Linked DNA regions of Arabidopsis thaliana. The protein of the gene in region 1 interacts with the protein of each later gene in a pairwise test. Each region holds a gene or a part of one and is shown on either strand. Other genes may lie near its edges.

Region 1 (4,910 bases):
GACGTCGTATCATGAGTAAGAGGAGAGTCTGCATGTTTTAGTATGTCTTCGTTGTTATTATGTGGCTTTGTCTTTGAGAAGATAGACCATATTATTCCCATTCCTTGATTATTTTTGTGTGTTTTCGTTATATGTTTTCTTCTTCTTTTACTAGCTATTGTATTCAGGTCTTATTTATAGAGGAATTTCATGATTATACCTTCCCGACCTGAATGTTTTGTATAACTAAATTATTCATTAGATTAAGTAATTTCTTATCTGATGGTCGAAATCCAAAAATTCTCAAAATGTTTAACACAAAATTATCTAAATTATGTCAAAATATCCAAAAATAGCTGAACTACCTAGACTTGTACCCAACCTCTTGGGCTCTTGGCTATATATAGTAGACTTCTCCATTAGTGTATTTTTGTAAGTATCATCAAACTTTAGAATACATAAATTAAACAAATGGTACACCGTACACATCGCAAACAAAATTTTGATTGGAATATATTCCATTTTCTTTTACGTCTTGTTAAACATGTTTGATTCTTTATACTTTTCATTTGATATGTTAGCTAGCTTTATTCTTCCATTTTCTCCACCAAAATGGAATTTTCGAATACTCTTTTAAAAAGTGAACATGATCCACGCATATAGACTGTTCGCTCATATACCTTTAAGATTATCTATCAAAAATGCCTAATTGAGAGATTATGTGGATATTTTACACATGTTTAGAAAATATTGTTTATGCCAAATTAAATATGGGTTTTGATAGGATCTAACTAGGTTTAAGGTTCATAGAAAATCTTTCTACTTTTTATTTTTTTACCAAAAATAAATTCATGTCAGCTCGTTAAAAGTTAGAACATTGTAAATGAATTGATTCGAATATAACAACCTTCAAAACACTCGTTTTGAGTTTATTCAACACCAACATTAAAGTTATTATTAAAACTAAAAATACGATAGAACAACCTTATTATACACACATGACATGATGTGAAATATATGTTGAGAAGGTCCATTGGTGCATATGGAGATTTATGTTTTTCTATGCCATAACAATTATTACTGTTTGGGACGAATTGCAACACCTTTGAGGGAGAGCCCTTTCTTCCAAACACCAGCCGCATGCTCATACATTGAGAAAGTGATCTCTCCGGCAGCGGATTTCTCAGGTACGAACTCGCCAACTCTGACATCGACCCATTTATACCTTGGAAGTTCCCTCAAACTCACCTTTTTCTCTTGTGGTTTCTCCTTACCGTTAGGCAAGACTAGCTTTAGGTTCACCGGCGTGTCCCATCCATAGGCCGGATCCTCTAGCTTCACCTTAAAGACTACCTCGTAAACAATCCCCGGAGTGAGGTTCCTCGTGTCGAATTTTCCCGTGATGTCGAGCCAACAAACGTTTTTCAATCCCACAGCTTCCACATTCTCGCTTTAAAAATCATCCAAAACAAACTAAAGTTTGTCACTTTGCATTAATAATTATAGGTCAAAATTCGTATTAATATTGCTATAATATACACACACAAACTTAAAACGTCGTAACCTGTTTCGAATTTATCAAGGATACTTTGATTCATACTCAACTCTATTGTAAATCAAATATGTAACAAAGATATTCATTTTGTGGTAACATTCATAGTATGGGATTTAAATGAAACGTATCTTACTTTGGTGACTCTTTTTCGGTAAACCAAGTCCAATAGTTGACGTCATCAGACCAAGTTATAGAGAGGTTCTTTGCAAAGAGCATGAAGCAGTTGCTGTTTCTCTCGTCCACCCAATATTTGATCTGTTTAATATATATTATACGCAGATCATCAAACCAAATGAATTCATGGTCCGTCTTAAATATATTAAGATTGATTTTCTTAACAAAAAGTTACCATTTTGATAGTGTTACTTTAGTCCATTAGTTCTATCTTATTTTATCTTTCGAAGCATTTGAAACCTATGTGGAAGTAGCAATCATGTCTTTCTAAACCAAGCAGAATGGAAACGTTTGTTTTGTGATCTGATCATTTTTTTAAGCTACTTTTTATTTTAGAAATGAGAGATTCAATTTTTTTGAACCAGAAGTTCTGTGTTTGCAATTTTGTTTACCTAAAGGCTCCGTTTTGCGTAGTTATTTTCTGAAAATAGAAACACAAGTGAGCTAATTCTTAAAAAGAATATGAACCTGTTTCTTGGGTTTCAAGAAAACACCAGACCGTAGCTGTTCAGAGAGATTAACAGAGGAGAGAGAGATCGGAGGATCTGCGTCTCTGAGAATGGCCTCACAGTTGTGTGGAGATTTCACCGTTGAAGCTTTCATCGGTAAAGTTGTCACCGGTGGCGCTTCTTTCTGCACCGGGATCAAGTATTTCGAGTCTTGGTTTCTAAACATCTTATTTGGTAATAATTCTGAGCAATGTTTCTTGCTCATAAACCAGTATGATGTATTTATTTTTGATAAATTTGTTATCTTGATCAGTACATTCAACTTGACAGAGAAAAGCTATTAAATGTGTACATATATAGCCCTAGGTAAAGGGGTTTGATCAAGAATTTATTCTATCATGTTTTATCTCCTACTTTTTCCTCTTTTGTTTTTTTCATCTATCTTATTACACTTTCGTAACACTTTATTCACAAAACTAAAGTTTGATAAGGGAATACAATATGTAGCTTATTCTTGTTTCCACTAGAAAGGTTTTGGCAGCAACTATCGTAATCCCAACCCAATCCAAATCAAATTCCATCCACTTCTGAGTTCTGACCTCTCAAAAGCTAGAATATGTGTACCTTCATTTTTATACTTTCCTTATAAAATAAAAAGGAAAGAAAAATGATTCGGTGCTTCGCGTGGACACCACTAGTAGGTGCTCCCTTAATCACCACCGTCCATTTCACATCTCCGCCATCTCTCAGAATCTTCGCATCTCGTTCTTCCGCACCATCATCATCATCATCATCATCATCGACAGTTGCAGCAGCATCTAGAAGATCAATATCTCTGTCAATTATCGCCGTCACGTCTTCCGTCGTCTCCTCCTTTTGCTTCTCGTCTCCGGCACTAGCCGACTTCTCTGAAATCCCTAATTCCGGCGGCGTTAAAGCTCTCGACCTCCGAATCGGCGATGGTGACGTTCCCATTGAAGGAGATCAGGTTTTGTGTTTTTGTATTTTTGTATAGATTTCAGCAAATGAACGAACCATTTGATTCAATTTTGCAAAGTTTTGAATTTTAGATTGAAATACATTACTATGGGAGATTAGCTGCGAAGCAAGGATGGAGATTTGATTCAACATATGATCATAAAGATAGTAATGGTGAAGCTGTTCCTTTCACATTCGTCCTTGGTTCTAGCAAAGTATAAACCTTTATCTCTATATGCTTCTATCTCAATCATGTGTTGCATAAAGTCCAAGTTTTTGTGACATGGGTCTTGAAAAATTATCTGAATTTGATTTAAAGGTGTGACCTTTGATACATTTCTTCATTGAATAGTGATGTAACAAACTAAGTGGTTTGGGTTTTTGAAGTTGATAATACTTCTTCTATGTCTCTATGATGATGTTTTGTGATGACTGAAACATTTTGATGTGCAGGTAATTCCGGGGATTGAAACAGCTGTGAGGTCTATGAAAGTAGGCGGGATTCGTCGGGTGGTTATACCTCCATCTCAGGGATACCAGAATACATCACAGGAGCCTCTCCCACCAAACGTATGTGTGCACACACACCTCTTTCTCCTTTAACATTTTCATATAATATCTTAATATGAAAGTCATATGTTATTTTAGAGTCCCACATGGATTAGCTTTGGGCCTGGCTTAGTGCCTTAGTGCACCACACTCTTAAGCTAGTTTTGGTTTAGGCCTAAACTATTTAGGTGATAAGAACATAATTAGTTACGTCATGTTCAGTAGCCACAGGGACTTGAACTAGTATCAATCTGTTTGATATGAAAGTTTTAGAGAACCAGTCATATTATTCAGATTGTTTGCAGAAACATATAGTACCAAAGATTGGTTTAAAAATCCTTTGTTTGTTTCTTGTTGTGTTTGCAGTTCTTTGACAGACAGAGACTCTTCACGACTATATTTAACCCAACACGTCTCGCCAATGGAGAAGGTTCTACTCTTGGAACTCTCGTTTTTGACATTGAACTTGTCAGCACCAGACGCCTTCACCGATGAGTCATATTGTCCTAGTACTTTTGGATAAGTGAATAGAAATTTCAACTTTAGATGTAAATGAAGTTGATTATTTGTCACTTCTCTCCCTGCTTTGCATTCGTATTACATTTGTGTGTATAAATAAAAGGTTGCTAAATAATAGACAACGAAACGTTGCTTGTTTTGTTTCACAGTAACTAAAAAAATGTCTTCCACAAAACTCATCTCGTTCATCATAATGATTGGCATGATGATCAGATTGGACAACACTTGGCCCATTGATAGATATTTCGAGGCTGAATGGACCCAGAGTTACAGGAATTCAAATTATGGCTACGGTCTCTCAAGCTTGTGCGGATGGATCATGGATTAGACCTCGGGGAAGACATCTGATTCTACTCTTGAGAGCTTGCTTGCCTATTGATATTGGTGCTTGTGTAGAAACGCATCTTCCATTAAAAGGTTAAAGGCAGTATGCATGTTAATCTTTCAAGCTGTGGTCTATTGCCTATGGAGGGAAAGAAATTCAAGACTTCATACTGCGGTGTTGAAGCCCGCTCAAATTAGAATAAAGGACGTTCAGTTACTGTGGAGGGCTAAATTGGCTGGTTTGGACCGACCTTTTCAACTTAATACTGTCGGGCTTTCCTCTGCTTCTTCTTCTTGGCAACACCAAAGTTATCTCTCCTGCTGGTTTGGTTTTATATAGAGGTGATTATTGGGTGCCTTTGCTTTCAGATTCACTATCAGGC
Region 2 (5,628 bases), on another chromosome or scaffold:
CTTGCAGCTACGACAATTTATGCCACAACCATTGTCCTGGTTGTAAAATTACTCAATGTGTCAATGGAGAATGTGTTTGCTTAATCTGTTACACACCACCATTATAATTAAGTGTTAAATCGCATATGTAACTCTAAGAAGCATAATAATAATAAATTGATAACTATTCAAACTTCGTTATGTGTAATATAGACAAAACAAAATCGTCGTTTGTCTATGTTCGAGCCTTGTATGCTCCACATTTATGTTTTACCGAAAGAAAAAGCGTCATGAAGGGAGAAAGAGAAGAGTGTGATCATATACGCTCTCACAAGTCACAATGTTCTAAACGTAGTTGCTGCCTTGAAATAACAGCCGGTGATATTAATATTCCTCTCGATCTAACGGTGGAGATACTGAAGAAACTCCCGGCCAAGTCTCTTGTGAGGTTCCAATGCGTCTCCAAGCAATGGTCAATAATTATCGGCAGCCGTAAAGATTTCATTTAGGTACTCGACAATCTTCATTTCTTCTCCATTAATTAGTTATCTATATTCTCTGCATGTGTTATATTCACCCTCCAAAGAAAACTACACGAAGATAAAAGAGGTCATGTCATAGAAACAGAGCTTTCTTGTAGAAGAAGATAACAGCTGATATAGACACTGGAGATTTTCTGACATGCACACCTAGTGTCGAACTCGAACATAAGTCTTCATAGGCTAATTTGAAGATGTGTTGAATTGGTCGGCTAACTGAAATATCTACCAGCAAAACGATTGTTCCTGGGAGATTGATCACATTGCTGCGACATAACAATACAAAAGAACTCAAACTTAATGGTTTATTACATATGAGTTCGTCTAATATAAGCAATCACAAAATAGTTTTTGAATAACATCCATAAGAACTGTTACAAAACAGAGTCTGAAACAATCATCATTCTAATCTAACAACGTTAAAAACATCATCAACAACGACAATAACAAAAACACAGAGAAACAGAGCTTTCTTGCAGAAGAAGGTAAAGGCTGAGGAGGAGCAGAACCAGCAGGGTTCTGTTTTCCGGCAGAAGCGGTGGTGTTTTCCTTGGAGCAAGCTAAGTTACAGCGACTAGGACGAACAATTCGATACACACCAGAGCTCGTGAGTAAATGTATGTCCTTGTTATTGTCTTGTCCAAATGAGTAAATGTAACCAAGAGCAGGTCCTGAGCTAGCTCCTCCTGGAGCTGCGGTACACTTCATCGGTGAATCCTTGCTGCAACTAAACGGTATTAGAGAGTCCGTGAAGTTTCCACTATCTTCTGGTGATTCGATCGCTGCCCACATTGCGTTTGCATAAAGATCTGCATACAAGTACCTGAGACAAAAAAATATTTGAGGATTTAGTGTTTTAGCCTTTTAGGGTTTGGAATTAGGGTTCATGGTTTAGTTTTTTTACTTACGTTCCATAAGAGCAAGGATCAGTGTTGGATCGATAAAAGTAACCTCCAATGATGGAAGCAGATCCTTCATGTTTGTTCACTTCAGAGTGGTTGTAACCGAGAATGGGGAATGTCAGGTTTGAATCCGAGGAAACATTTTCTCCAAAAGGCGATAACGGTGAGAAAACATATGGTCCTTCGTAAGTTCTCCAGCCATAGTTTCCACCCATTGTTATGATATCAACTTCTTCATATGTATCCTGTTACATTTTTAACACAGCAATCATTTCATGAGAAACTCTGCATCATCACAGAACTAGATGCTTGAGACGTAAGAAAAAAAATACACAAACCTTTCCGACATCTGCGCACAAGAAGTAATCTGGTCTTTCGGAATCGAAGCTGCAGCGCCATGGATTTCGTAGCCCTAAAGCCCAAATCTCAGGCTGCTCATTTTCATTTCCTTGGAAAGGATTGTTTTTTGGTATAGAGTAGTTTCCCCATAAACCAAGCTTAGAGATTTCAGATACGCCTGCAGAGTTTAAAAACAAGAGTTAAAACACCAAATCCAAACTCCCAAATACAGGCTTTTGGTTATCGATTTCGTCACTTAACTTGGCATAACATCAACATCAAGCCTCAAGATTTTGCCAAGCAACGACTTCTTGTTCTGTGCAAAGTTGTGAGTATCTGAAACTCCTCCTCCGTCACCAGTCATGAGATACAAATACCCGTCAGGTCCAAAGAGAATCTGACCACCGTGAGATGAAGAATACGGAAGTCCCATAGTGAAAATCCTCCTCACTTCAGATGCTTTACCAATCTTTGCCTACACAATTATAAAAGCAACAATCTTGTTAAAATCTTGACCCCCAAGAAACTCACATTTTGGTTGAAATCAAATCTTGAATCTTTTTTAGTTTTAAACTTACCGTTGAAGGGCTCGAGGAAGTACCGTTTGCGGTATACTCGGACACAACGGTCTGATAACGACAAGGCGTCGTGCCATCATCTTTAGGAAGCTTCGAAGGATCACAGTTAACATCAGAATTGCAAGCACAACGACCAGAGCATCCAGGAGATTTGACTTTATCGCAGTTAAAAGACGCGAAAAACCGCCCGTTCTCTGCGAACTTAGGATGAAACGCCATTCCCATCATACCAAACTGCGTATCGAAACTAACTTGATCGGTAATATCAACAAAAGGAGTTGATTCATCGATTTCCATCGGTTTACCTGAGTCTTGATCCGGTATTGTACCTAACCAAATCTTACCAGGTTGGTTAGAGAAAAAGGCCCGGTTCGAACCATCAGGATGAGCGACCATGTTAAGGTAAGAACCAGTTCCTATCTTCTCAAGACATATTCCTTTAGGTGTCTTAACATCATCCTCATCATCATCACTAGTGTCTCTGTTAACCGGTTCACCATTGAAGCATTTGGTTTTGTTGTTGTTGGTTTGAGATGGTCCACCAAAGGCTGTACAGAATTCGGTTTGGGATTTCCAAAGATCGGTTAATGTCGATGAATTTGATGAAGTTGAAGGCGAAGTAGCACCACCAAGTAGAGTGGGACTAAAAGGAGAAGAAACAATGGAAATGTTCTGACATGAATCCCAAAGTTTTGAACATAAGTCTTGTGATGTTGAGTTGCAGAGAATTGGAACTAGAGAACTATCATCATCACCAAACAATTGTCCTGAGAATTCATCACATTTCTGAGGGAAACAAAAAAAAGACTCAGAGATTCAGAATCAATTAGCTTCAAACAGAGCAAATGCATAAGTGAAAGATTGATTCTTATTCTTAAGACTTACAGAACAGAGAATGGATTTGAGAAGAGAAGAACAATTAGAGTCAGAGATGTTCATGGAGTTGAAGCGATTCTGTAATTGAAGATCATCTTTAGAATTGCAGCAAGATCTTTCTTTGTAGGAATCGCAGAACTGGAGTGTCTCGTTGTTGTTGACTGGAGTCTCTGACAAAAAGACGAAAAATTCATCAAAACGACATGAACACAAAAGCCATTAAACTCAAAACGACATGTACGCAAGAACACTTCAACTAAAAACGACATGAACATAGAGAACACTTACTTGAATCTGAGCAAAGAAGGTGAGAAGTTGTTTCAGAGAGTAGAAGAAGCAGAAGAAGGGAACAGATAGTGATGGCTTGATTCGTCTTTGCCATTATTGGAACTATGCAACAACACAATTCTCTCTCTCTCTCTCACACAGGAGACTCAAAGCTATATAGTATATGTGTCTAAATAGTATATATGTGTATATGTGGTAGTAACATAGTTGTGTCTAAATACGACATAAGTCGTTGAAAATTTTGTCAAAATATTAGAGAAAACTTGAGAGAGAAATGAATAAATTCTTTGGATAGGGTGAGACGGTTACGCTAATTTGTCTATCTCAAATATTAAATTCGATTGGGTGTTATGGATTTGTCAACCCTGTTCTCGAAGCTTGATTTTCTCAAAAGTTTCCAATGTTATGATTTTTTTACTATGAAAGAAGAAATGTGGCATCAGTTTTTATTTCTAACTTACTTTTGTTGAAACTTGATAAGATACTAATAGCAATAAATTTTGCCAACCAACATATATGATGATGATGATGATGATGATGAACTAACAATATCGGTCTTGCTCTATTACGCTTATCATTATGTGCTATATTTTACACATTTAGCTTATAGCCTTAATTTTTATCCAAGTTTACTAAATTGGTTTTCACCTCATGACATTAATATTGTGTGTTGACTTGTGCCAACTTCTGTCTACTAGTTCTCAACTCATTAATTATTTTTTAGTTTTCTCTTGAGAACTCAGCCACAAAACGTAATGTTTTCGTATATGTAGAGGATAGATTTTATAAAGATATAGTAAAGAGAACAAGGCTAAGACATTTTGAGCATTTAGATAGCCAACATAGGACTATACTATACATCTTTTATTCGTATTTAAGTATTCTAAGATCTATTTCTTTTGGGTTTGGGATAAAGGACAGAATTAATTAATAATAGTGTTCTCCTTACGCATGTTAACCATATTAATACTTTAGCAGTACCTAACATGAACAATGGGTCAATCTCGTCGTCAATGTTAACATTTTTACATCTTTTACCTTATATTATTATATTTTGTTAGGTTGCTCCGCATTTACCTTTTCTCACACGCTTCACAAAGTTTTCTTCATTTTTGCACCTTTGGCTAAATCAGAAAAATTTAAACATTAACCAGATTGAAAGTTATGACAGCCGATGAAACCACTGATTAAACAATTGTCTACCGACTGAAAAGTCTTACAAGTATATACAAACCTACTAAAAAGCTTAAAAAGTGGATTATGATCAAATATGAAACACGACCGAATAGATTGAACAACCCACTACGACTATTATTTATACTATAGAATCCATCGTTAACTTAGAGCCAACCATAAAGCTATAGTCTGAAATATCAAAGCGGGCCATGTCGGAGCAGATTGAATCATGGTCCACAAACTTTTAATTCTAATTTGCAGTATATATAATAGACCTGACGATATCGAATTTTCCGAAATTTCTCAAACTTTTTGTAAATAGTAAAACATCAAATTTAGTAAATTAAGAATACATTTTGAATATAACATATTACAAATGAACGACATATTAGATACTATAGTATTGTGTCTCTTTAAAAAGATGATATTTAGAATAAAATGCTTAAAATACTATTCTTAATTTTGACGTAAAAAGTTAATACATAGAAATTGATGGGTTTAATTCAAATTAGAAAGCATGTTAAAGATATAGTTGGCGGGTAAGTTTAAAGTATCCTCAAGCAAAGAAAATATGCAAATTAACGGCAACTTGGATCTCCCTTCTCGACATTTTTCTCTTAATTGCATTCCCGATTTCTCACTTACTTTATGAAAATTTAGTTATTTCAACGCCATGGACTTTTATTCAATAATGATCCCATTTGGACTTTTGAAATAGTCTACTTCTTATCATGTAGTAATTTTGATTATGGTCCATACATTCTAGAAGGTAAATAGAGTTTTACTTGGCTTTTTAGATATTTTAAGACAATTAATCAGTAAACTCCAAACGTTAAATATATACTGTCATGTAAATTCTAATGTGAAATATGTTATAAAAATCTATCATGTATATCAATCAACCATTAAATGATGAAATTACGTACTGGACTACAAATCATTCATCAACCA

What was found.
Region 2: the proteins of PP2-A1 (region 1) and HIPL2 interact in a two-hybrid assay, tested with the Arabidopsis thaliana proteins (one large-scale study listed by BioGRID).

The regions. Positions count from the first base shown.
Region 1 is NC_003075.7:10,771,848-10,776,757, reverse strand, and holds PP2-A1 (phloem protein 2-A1), read right to left. Parts: upstream 2,825-4,910; 5' UTR 2,423-2,824; coding exon 2,177-2,422; intron 1,790-2,176; coding exon 1,668-1,789; intron 1,430-1,667; coding exon 1,057-1,429; 3' UTR 816-1,056; downstream 1-815. Other genes in the region: PP2-A2 (lectin-like protein), read right to left, coding at 1-101; AT4G19830 (FKBP-like peptidyl-prolyl cis-trans isomerase family protein), read left to right, coding at 2,825-3,145, 3,228-3,350, 3,589-3,705, 4,051-4,179.
Region 2 is NC_003076.8:25,142,796-25,148,423, forward strand, and holds HIPL2 (hipl2 protein precursor), read right to left. Parts: upstream 3,793-5,628; 5' UTR 3,596-3,792; coding exon 3,502-3,595; intron 3,384-3,501; coding exon 3,223-3,383; intron 3,124-3,222; coding exon 2,338-3,123; intron 2,235-2,337; coding exon 2,021-2,234; intron 1,938-2,020; coding exon 1,759-1,937; intron 1,666-1,758; coding exon 1,427-1,665; intron 1,342-1,426; coding exon 924-1,341; 3' UTR 723-923; downstream 1-722. Other genes in the region: AT5G62627 (Putative membrane lipoprotein), read left to right, coding at 1-107.